2 linked regions of the Arabidopsis thaliana genome follow. The protein of the gene in region 1 interacts with the protein of each later gene in a biochemical or structural test. Each region holds a gene or a part of one and is shown on either strand. Other genes may lie near its edges.

Region 1 (5,446 bases):
CGTACTAATCAAAGGCCCATAAGTTTAAGCCCATTAAGATTTTCCAGAACCACTAGCAATATTATTACCTAATTTTATTTTATTTTGGTGAGAATTATTATTAGCTATTCTTTAAAGAAAATCTTTTCTCTTTTATTTTTCTATCTCTCTTCATTTTTCATTTCTTAATGTTTTCCTCCACTATGAATTGCCCTGCAAGTTAAGTTTAGAATTATTGAGCTCAAAAGCCTTCATGTTTTTCTTGTGTGCCCACCACTTCTCGATCCACACTTTTTCTATGGCATATATACAAAATACATACAATTGATTAAGTACTTATTTATTTTTAAAAAAGCATATCAAACACCTTTCTACACATAGTGAATATGAATGAATCTTAACTTTTCTTCAACGAAAAAAAAAAAAAAATTCTTCAACGAAAATGCTCATATAATAATACCAATATGTGAATCACACTACATTATACTTGTGTCTAGTGTAGTCTATAAATTGAAAAAATAAAATAAGAAGAGTACTACAAGTATAGACTAGTTGACCTAAATTTAGCAAAAATCTGATGGAAGAGTAAATTTTGAGACGTAGGTGATCATTTTGAATTTGAGAAGATACGATAAATCTAATAACCACAATCGATCGTAAAATTAATTTATGATTTTGGTCTGGTGAAATAAATCATTTTTAAAATTAATTAAAGAAATCAGCTTTGATAATTAAGTTCACTCATAAATAAGGTAGAAAAATCCATTAAAGAGTGTTTCAAATCCATCCATTGATAGAGGAAGAATGGCATATTGTTTGTACACCAACCCCAAGAAAATCCCGAGTTTGCCCTCCTCCTCCCGCATTCCCAATATCAACTCTTCTACGCTTCCAAGGGTAATTCTGTAATTCACCCATCCCCGAAACGACCGTAACGCCGTTTCTAGGGTTCCCGATCTCGTGAAGACCGTTATTATTATTACTCATTAACTCGACACTGTTCGATCCAAACGAAGCAAAGAACCTGTCGCTGCCACCATCTTCTACAATCTGATTACTCTTCGATGCAAAACTCTGAAGATACGCTGATTGGTCGGTAGTAATCGTCGTCGTTGGTGACGTAGAAGAAGTCGCTCCCATCTGAGCAGCTTTTTGGAGTAACGCAGTCGCCGACATATTTGCAACAGCCACAGAAGCAGCGTTTGCGTCTTGGGTAATTTGGTCAACGCTGCTAAAAAGAGAAGGCACGGAAAGAGAAGTTGCCCCGTTAGCGTTTTCCTTACTCTGGACGATATTAATATTATTGTCATGAGTAATGAGTGAATCGCTCGTCGTTATTAACTCGCCGTGATTATTCGCGTTTCCGAAAACCCAATTGTAATCCTCTTGCGGTGAATGCGGCTGCGGCGCCATACGGTCCTCGATGGTCACTTGCTGATGATGATTAATATTTCCTCCCGACCATAAAGAGAGCGTAGACGCTGGTTTCATGACGTCTTGATGATCGAAGTTGTTGGTTGTGATTGGGAATTGGTGGTGGTGATGATGTTGCGGTTGCGGTGGTCCGAACGGAAACGACGGTGGTTGTGGTAGTGATGGTGATGGGATAAGTGTCCCCATGAGATAATGATAGTTTAGATTACTACCAGCGGTTGCGGCAAAGCTTTTGAGATGCGAGGCTGCGTTTAGCCTAGCGGTTTCTTCTGCTAAAGCGTCACAGAACGCTCTATGTGTAATGAAGCTGTCTCTCCTGTTGACCAAATTATACACACCAATAAGATCAATATCGTCTATACACACTCGCTAATTTATGCTTGTGTTTAATATGTATGTATATAGTAATATAGATAGCAATTAAGGAAAAAAAGATAAATAAAGTTGTATATCTTACTTTAACCAAAATATGTCAATCCAAGAAACTGTCTTATTCAAGAAATCAAGCAGCACGTATGCTCAGAGAATGACCAATATGGCAATATCTATACAAAAGTAACTCCAAATTATTTTGTTTTAGACCCTACATGAGCTACTACTTCCAACAAAAAACATGTATCTTATTTACTTACAAATTGTTTCACAAAAAAAAAAAAAAAAATCTTATTTACTTACAAACAACGTGGTAAAACGAAATTTGTTTGTGTGGTCCAGTGGTACAGTAGTGTTAGTTGAGGTAACAGATTCGTTTTTTTTTTGTTTTTCATCATAGTATTCACCCGGTAAAATATAAGCTCTAGCTAGGTTTAGTATGAGTTTTAAGATATGTATATAAGTATATATATATTCTTCCTATATTCTAATATATTCAAACATGATTAACTTTACTGGTTAAGAAGTTAAAATCATATTTGAATCTATATATAATGCAATTAAACATGATATGCGCTTACAGCTAGGTGATCAAAATATTTGTTACGCCACTAAAAATATATGATACCGTGATGAGGAAATGTAAAGATCATCTATTAGTACGTACGTGTGTAGATATACACTAAGTACCTGGAGAAAATTGTACCACAGTCGCATCTATATTCTCTAGTCCCACAAGTCTTGGAATGAGCCTTCCAGTCAGATTGGACTGCATATCTCTTGGCGCATTTCTCACACTTCCACTTTTTCTCGCCATGTTTCCGACAAAAATGTTTCTTAATGCCGGTAAGATCACCAAGTGCCCTCGTCGGATGGTGGTGGACGCAACTCTTTTCTGGACATACATACACTCGTTTCCTTACTTCTTTGCTCGTCCTCTGCTTTAGCTTCCATGGGAGGTTGTGTCCTCGACGGTGAAGCTGTAGATTCTGGTCTCTTTGAAACCCTTTTCCACATATCTCGCAGAGGAAACGATTTGTGGCCATAAGTGTCTTTGGAGATAGAGCTATGACCTCAGCTTCTGGATCTATAGAGAACGAAATATAACAATCAAATTCTGGATACATATTTGATCATGTGAAAGATCTAAACAGTAGAAAGCATGCATGTTTGTAGATCAAGATCGAAAAAAAAAAGAACATGACTTTTCAGCAAACAGAAAAAAAAATGTTGATTAGGGTTGAATTATTTTGTGATCTCTATTAAACTTAATTAATTGTTACCAGGATTTCCAGGGAGGTTTCTCTTCTTCTTGACAAGAGGAGGATTGAGGGATTCATGTTGATCATGATGATGATGATCAACATGATCAGTTGTTGATGAGCTTTGGACATATCCTCCACTACTTGAAATTGTCTGATCTTCAGTTGTCATGTCTTCTTCTTGGACAAAAGTTTTGTTGGAAGAGATTGAAAAGGTAATTAATTAAGTTTTAAATAAGAGATGGAGGATGAGCAAAGGTAATGAAGAGAAAATAAATAGAAATACTTAGAATCTGATGTAGTTATGAATGAGAGGCAAACACAAAAGATAAGTTATATTGGGTGATCACTTTATATATACACCCTACACACTTAAGCCCCATATGTGTACTAAAAAATAATATTCCTCTTTCTTTCAAACAAAAAAATATAAGCACCTTGATCTGTAAGAACTGTCGCAGCTATTGTCATAAATTATTAAACTTTCATATATTTTTCCCATTTTATTTATATTTCGCAGTTAAAAGTTAATGGCGGTGGAAATTAACTATATTTATCTGGAAATATTTGATTATTTGGTTTTTCAGTGGCAGTGCGTCATGACACACACAAAAGTTTCTATGTCTGCCTTTTTCTATTTGGAATGATGATCTCATTATTTCTTTTCTCCGTTCTTTTTTTCATCATCCTCAGGTAAAATTAACTTCTTTAATTGTTCTTCTCCTTATAGTTTCTCTTAATGTTATTTTTAGTAGAAAGTCGTATATAAAGCACAGTCATGGTGTATATAATTTGAGATTTTAATTTGACCGTAAATTGAGGCGGTCAAAGAAGTAAACAGATCCAACGGCGCAGGTCACATCTCTCGTTTATTGTTGAGAACAAAGCCTGCAATGCACGTGTACCCATGCACGTGCTCGTGAGGTAAAATCCAACAACATACGACAACGAAATTAAAAACCTAAATATGCAAAAGAGAATAATCGTCCGGTCGACAGTGAAAACGAAAACCATGCGAACTCTTCCCGTCAAGTACCCCACTTCAAATTTTCGTTTTGATATTCGATTTTCCTTCAAAAAATTGTTAATTTTCCTTTGACAAAAACAAAAAAATTGCTAATTTCGATATTAATAATTGTGAAAAAATTCATGTTTGTGGAATTGAGTATAAGAGAAGTTAGTAGATACGTACGAGTATCTTGTTCATGCTTTTTCTTACAAAGATCTTTTTGCAATGCTCCCTATTCGTCTTTTTCTTTAGCAAACTTTTTCTCGCCCTACAAATGAAAGTATTTTCTAACGTATTTTTTTAAAAAAAAATAGAATCTTAACTTATTTTTAAAAAAGATCAGAACTCGAAATCCCATTAAAAAAAAAAAGATTGAACCAAAAAAGTAATTCTAACCTACTATATATGTGCAAGCTAGTAAATTTTCTCTCGGAGATCATAACTATTATAAACTCATACCAAAATTTTAATTGAAAATTTATTTTGTAGTTTATTATCCTAAGACTGAGCATATGTATCGGAGTTGTATAAACTAGTCTATTATTATTATCGTGTTATAATTTGGATAAAATCCTATATATAAAATAATATTGTAGATGAAAAAAAACGGTAAACAATTCGACCATATCAAAATCTCGATCATATCGATTTTCAAAGAAAAGTAAACTAAATGTGCTTTTTTATTTACCCCTAGCTGAAAGTAAGATAATTATGGTTAGTTAATTAATCGAAAGTACGAAGAGACAGAGAACTGACAAAATGCAGGTGAATTTTTGGAAGGAAGAGAAGTCGTCAGCTTGTGGGCTGACTTAATTACCAATTCTTTAGGTAATTTACACTTTAATCATAATGTAATCATGTTTTAAGATTCCTATAAAATAATAACATTAGTTTAGTGTTTTAGTTTTGGATTTTTCTTCTTGAACTTTGGCGGCACAAGAATATTCCCTTATTTTTCGAGACGTTGTTATAGTATATTATTGTTCCCTTTATATAATCAAGATTTATATACAGATGGGCATTTACACAAATGGGAAACTGGGATTTTTTTTTGTTACTGTAAAGTATAAAGAGATGCGTTCATATGAGTGTATCCAAAAACAAAAATATGTCAATTTTTTTGTTATGTAGAGCTCCTACGTACAAATGAATTTACACGATAATTATCTATTTGAATTTGGTCTATCCCGCTCATATTTAAATAAAGTTCGAATAGTAAATCCTATGTTTCAAGTTTCTAAAGAAATGCTGATTTGAATCTGTACAATATAATTGTAAATTGAGTATAGTTCAAAAAAAATTTGTGAACAATGATGATAGTGGAGATATAACGCATCAACACAAATAAAAAAGTTCAAATTTAGTCAAGAATAATTCTTTGTCTACATTT
Region 2 (5,114 bases), about 18 Mb from region 1:
GTTCCCTCCTTTTTTTGTTTTTTTGTCTTAAACAGGTAAAAGTGATGATAATGTCTTTAAAAGCTGGAAATCTTGGGCTGAATATGATTGCTGCATGTCATGTCATTCTTCTTGATCTATGGTGGAATCCAACTACTGAAGATCAGGCTATTGATCGAGCACATCGTATTGGACAAACTCGACCTGTTACTGTAACTCGTATTACGATAAAAAATACTGTGGAGGATAGAATTTTGGCTCTCCAGGTAAAGATCCCTTATAGCTGATACTTGTTTCCCCCCTCAGTTTCTCTCATTTGTGGTTGTGTGATTTTTGGTTATTATTATAGGAAGAGAAAAGAAAAATGGTTGCGTCTGCCTTTGGTGAAGATCATGGTGGAAGCTCTGCAACTCGATTAACAGTTGATGATCTCAAATATCTATTCATGGTGTAGCTGTTCTTAAATCTTGGGTTGGCGAAGTTTCGCTTCTTTCAGAATTTTGATCATGAGCTGCATTCTTGTGTTCTTCAGGTTCACAGATTTGAAATGAGGAAATATGTAAATAACTTAGCTGTTGTCTCATAGTATATATAACATCAGAGTATATACTTTTTCTGAATCAGTTCATCCGAGATCTTCTTTCCTTTTGGGATCACATTACTCTTTCAATCTTATTATCAAGGTGTTTTGATCATGCAACACTTTTGCATGAGAAACACTCTGTGAATTTGCTAAGACAAGATAAAGACTAGATTGCTTAAACAAAATTCAAATATAAATGAAGCAAGAAGATTAGGTTAAACTAGATTCAATGTAAATGAAGCACGTGAACTTTAGGTTACAAAGTATTTGGACAGCAGATAAGTCGTATACTCTTTGGATAGTGAACATGTCCTTTAGTAACCTAAATATATATACCGAGTTTAAGTTATTTACAATACACAAATGACAAGATCACCTGCTTAAAGATAGGCAAAGTTTGGCTGGTCTCTGAAAGAATTTGGAGTTCTGAACTTGAACCGATCATCAAATTAGTTATCTTCAGCTCAAATTGGATTTGGTTTGGTATTACACCCACACCAGACCAAATTGAACCAACACACAAAGGCTTTACATGCAGAGGCAGTAGAAGCATTTAAGCCAAAATAGCATAAAGAGACAGAAAGTCACCATCACAAAACAACTAAGATTGTGTCCCCATGTATACAAAAAAGAAAGGGACTCTGCTCATAACCAAAATAGAAGACAAACTGTAATATATCATTCACTTCCTGCATCTCCAAGCTGATACCGAGTATAGAGGTCGATCTTGCCAGCAAATTACTGCGCACCCGCTCTCTTCCTTGATTCTATACCCATCAAAACCGCACCCTTGAAGCAATCTCCTAGCCTGCAACATCGCATAATAGCTAAGAGGAACATTCCCAAAACCAGCCAAATCGATCCTCTGGCTCCATTTCTCAAGCTTCTCGTGTCTTTCTCTTCTCTCAAATCCCTCGCAGGATATGATGTTCTTGATCTCCTCCCCGAAGAGCATCTTCTCCACTTTGATCCTATCTTGAGACGTTCTTGGAACTTTTGTTTCCAAGCAATCAAACAATGCTGCGTAGGTGTAAAGTGATTCTAATAGCCTCTCCATTAGTGTGGAGCCGTTGTGGTCTGAGTCTTGCTCAGTGACCACCATGACCTTTGGAGACAAACCCCAAATAGCATTGAGGAAGCTATCAGTCCTTCCTGAACTTGGTAAAGGCAAAGATGAGGCCGAGTCACCGCTAGGGCTATACCCATTGTTGTTACTCATATCATTCTCACGTGCCTCAGCTGCAGAGCCATGGCTCATCATTAGAACTCTCTGCAAGTCAACTCCACTAGGGTTGTTCTGAAACCGTAAAGCGCAGTTCTTTCTCATGAGATCATCATCAGAGGCCAAGAAGGTATGCAATTGAAGAACCGAGCTAACGGCTAAGGCCTCTCCTGTTTTAACCCGCAACTGTTCTACATTTAAACAGTCTAACCTACTCACAACGGGATTAAACTGAAACGGGATATCGAGTTTCTCTGCTTCCTCAATGAGTCTATGAGCCATTTGTTCAAGCACTTCCTTCTGGTGATGAACACCAGTGATTCTCAAATGAGGTGGACCTTCAGGCCTAGAGTTAAAAGCTTGAAGCAAAGCAAGCCATTGAGCTGGCTCAGAAGCATCGAGATCAATCACATGAACCATCTTCTCTCCTTCCATAGCCTCGAGTATAGCTCGATTAGTGAGCAAGTAAGAGACTTTGAGTATCGGGAACATCTCAAAGAAGAGTCTTCTAACATGAATCTCCTCAGAGACATTGTTAGTTCTTGTCTGAGTTGCGTTAAGAGCCTTGTAAAGACCAGGCCAGGACTTAAGGATTCTGTTAGCAAGCGCTTCGGTGAAGTAAGCAGCGATTCGCTGCATCGTGTCGCCGTCAGGAGAAGCGAGGTGAGAGAGCTGCTCGAGCGCTGCGTTAGCGTTTTGGAGGCTACCTGAAGCCACGTGGTTGGCACAAGTTAGCAAGAGGTGGATTAAGTAGAGACCACGCTCCTCTGGTTTGAGATCTTTGAGACAATGAAACGGAGATGAAGAAGCGAGGAGAGTCGGTCTGTTGAGTGACATAGTTGAGAAGACTTGAAGTGGTGATGAAGCTACAGAAGATGTTCCATTATCTTCTTGAAACATAGCCACCATTGAAGGCCAAAAGCTTGATTTTGATTTACTCAGAACCAAAAGTAACCTTTTTTGTAAAGAAAGATTTAAACTTTGAGAGACTCGTAACGAGAAGAACCAAACCCACGATTCGGAATTTCTTGAAAGATGCAGAGAATCTGCAGTTTAACAAAAAAGGGGGTTAAAGAACAGAGGAACTAGGGTTTGCAGAGAAAGTACTGAATTTTAAAAACCTTTGAATCTAGTTAAACTATTTGAAATAGATATAGACGAAGAAACACAAACAGAGAGCTGAATTAAAACTTTCCTAATTTGATAAACTAAGAAAGAAACAAAACAAAATAATAGCAAATGATCAAAGAAGATAACAAACAACAATAACCAAAGAAAAAAACTTACATGGATTTAGAGAAAATGTCTAAAGCTTTTTTTTTGGGAGTGAGAGGGTTCTCTCAATCTTTATCTCTCTATCCACGTCTCTGGTGGTTATCTTGTGAGTAATAGCGTGTGTGTGAAATGTTGTTTGTGTTTTGGGAAAAAACTTTAAGAAAGAAAACACTAAAACAGAGGCATTGTTCCTTTTGGCTCTACGTACCAGACAATGCGTGATAGTCGGTTTTGTCTTCTTCCTTTTTGTTTTTTTCGTTTCCTCTTTCTTCTTTCCTTGGTTTTAAGGAATTATTAAACAAAAGGTTGTCAAATTTTCCAATCCCATCCATCTATCTTATACTATTATGTGTACTAGTACTACATGAATGAATATCATATAAGAATACGTATTTTGATTTTGAGTGCTCTTAAAGTGGTGTAACATTAATAAATAAAACTGAATGAGAGTGTATTAGCTTATGTTGCATTTATAAATAAAACTGAATAAGAATACATCCATCAATCTTATACTATTATGTGTATTAGCTAATGTTGCATTTTCATTTTCTTTTAAATTTGTAAGACTTGTAGGAATTAGTCTTATTGATTATTTTTATAGTTATTATTTTATATAAAGTCAAGATAAGAGAAGTTTCACCTAGAATTTTCTTGATTTAGAGGAACTAAGAAGAAAAAGCAACACTTAATTATGAAGGAAGAAGAAGTTCAATGAACCCATTTGGCATTATACAAATTGGAATTATCTTATAATAGATACATACACGAATACAACATATATGTCTGTATTCGAGATTGGAACCTCCACTTTTATGGGTTTTTGTCATGGCATGAGGTGGATTTGGAATCATGACTATATATTTCTACATCAAAAAAATTGTTAAAGAGAAAAAAAGAAAGCTGTTTTGGTAAAATATTGATTCTGAGAAGAAGGAAACGTCCAAACACGCCCTAACAAAGACAAAACAAAACCCAAAAACCATCTCTTTTGTTTTTGTTGTTTTGTTAGAAAAACAAATAACAATAAAAGAGATGAGGCTGAGGCTTGGGTGTGGGATTTGTCTGTCTTCTTTAAATGTTCATTGTCTTTTCATTACTTTTCTCTTTGTCTTTTTCTTCTTTTTAATGCCTACATTTTTGTCTTCTTCTCTTCTTTCTCTCTCTCTTTGTTTTTTACTGTGTGAGAGAGAACATTATTCAGTTTTTAAACTAAAAAGACCATTGACCAGAGAGATTCTACAGAAAAAGAATGATGCTATTTTACTACTATTGTACCTCAACTTTTTTTTCATCTTATCAATAGTAAAATAGTACTATAAAGTGAGAAAAATATGCATCCATAACAACACAGTAAAATTGTTTTAGTATGAAATTTGTTTAGCTTTGACTACAAATTAGAGAATGGTAAGTTTTTGTTATTAAAAACTTTGTAGTTAGATCTCATGATATCCAAACATAGAATCACAATTTTGCTGAAGGAGCTTGGTACGAAGACCGCCTCAGAAGTAAATGATGGTTCTGTTTTAGCAACTTTGGATGCTGCTACTCGGGTTGAGCTTCTGAGCTCCCCTTCTTATGTCTTTTTGTTTGAGCATTTGTCCTCGTAGCTTTTTGTGTATACTCTCCACGTGGAGGCAACTCTCGTTTAAAGTTGAATGAAATGTTAGTTTGACCAAAGAAAATAAAAAATAAAGAATCACAATTTTGTGAAAACTGTGTAATAGTAGTTTTGTGGATCCTCCAGAACACCAATTAAGTCTAAAAGTGAAGTCAACTTGATAATGTCGGTGAGTTCTTTGTGATTGAAAAACTGAAAGAACACTATCAATTCTTTGTGATTATTCATGTATTTTATAGGGTTCAAGTTCAATTAGTGCCTGTACTTATAAAAGACTTCATTTGATGTAGTTAAAATATTAGATGGATGAATCAACTTATTTGATGCATTAAGAAGCAGTATAATCAAAATATCAAATAATAAAATTAGAAAACGGCAGGCTAACTTTGATAATCTAGGGAAATACATAAGTGTAGCTAGAGATTTGAAAACCTATA

What was found.
Region 2: the proteins of MGP (region 1) and SCL3 form a complex in vitro, tested with the Arabidopsis thaliana proteins (one study listed by BioGRID).

What each region holds. Positions count from the first base shown.
Region 1 is NC_003070.9:966,840-972,285, forward strand, and holds MGP (C2H2 and C2HC zinc fingers superfamily protein), read right to left. Parts: upstream 3,496-5,446; 5' UTR 3,220-3,495; coding exon 3,069-3,219; intron 2,873-3,068; coding exon 2,476-2,872; intron 1,730-2,475; coding exon 757-1,729; 3' UTR 631-756; downstream 1-630. UniProt on the Arabidopsis thaliana protein: Transcription factor that regulates tissue boundaries and asymmetric cell division. Contributes to the sequestration of 'SHORT-ROOT' to the nucleus. Interacts with the SCR and MGP promoters.
Region 2 is NC_003070.9:18,676,933-18,682,046, forward strand, and holds SCL3 (scarecrow-like 3), read right to left. Parts: upstream 3,369-5,114; 5' UTR 3,072-3,368; intron 2,831-3,071; 5' UTR 2,694-2,830; coding exon 1,245-2,693; 3' UTR 762-1,244; downstream 1-761. Other genes in the region: AT1G50410 (SNF2 domain-containing protein / helicase domain-containing protein / zinc finger protein-like protein), read left to right, coding at 36-245, 329-433. UniProt on the Arabidopsis thaliana protein: Probable transcription factor involved in plant development.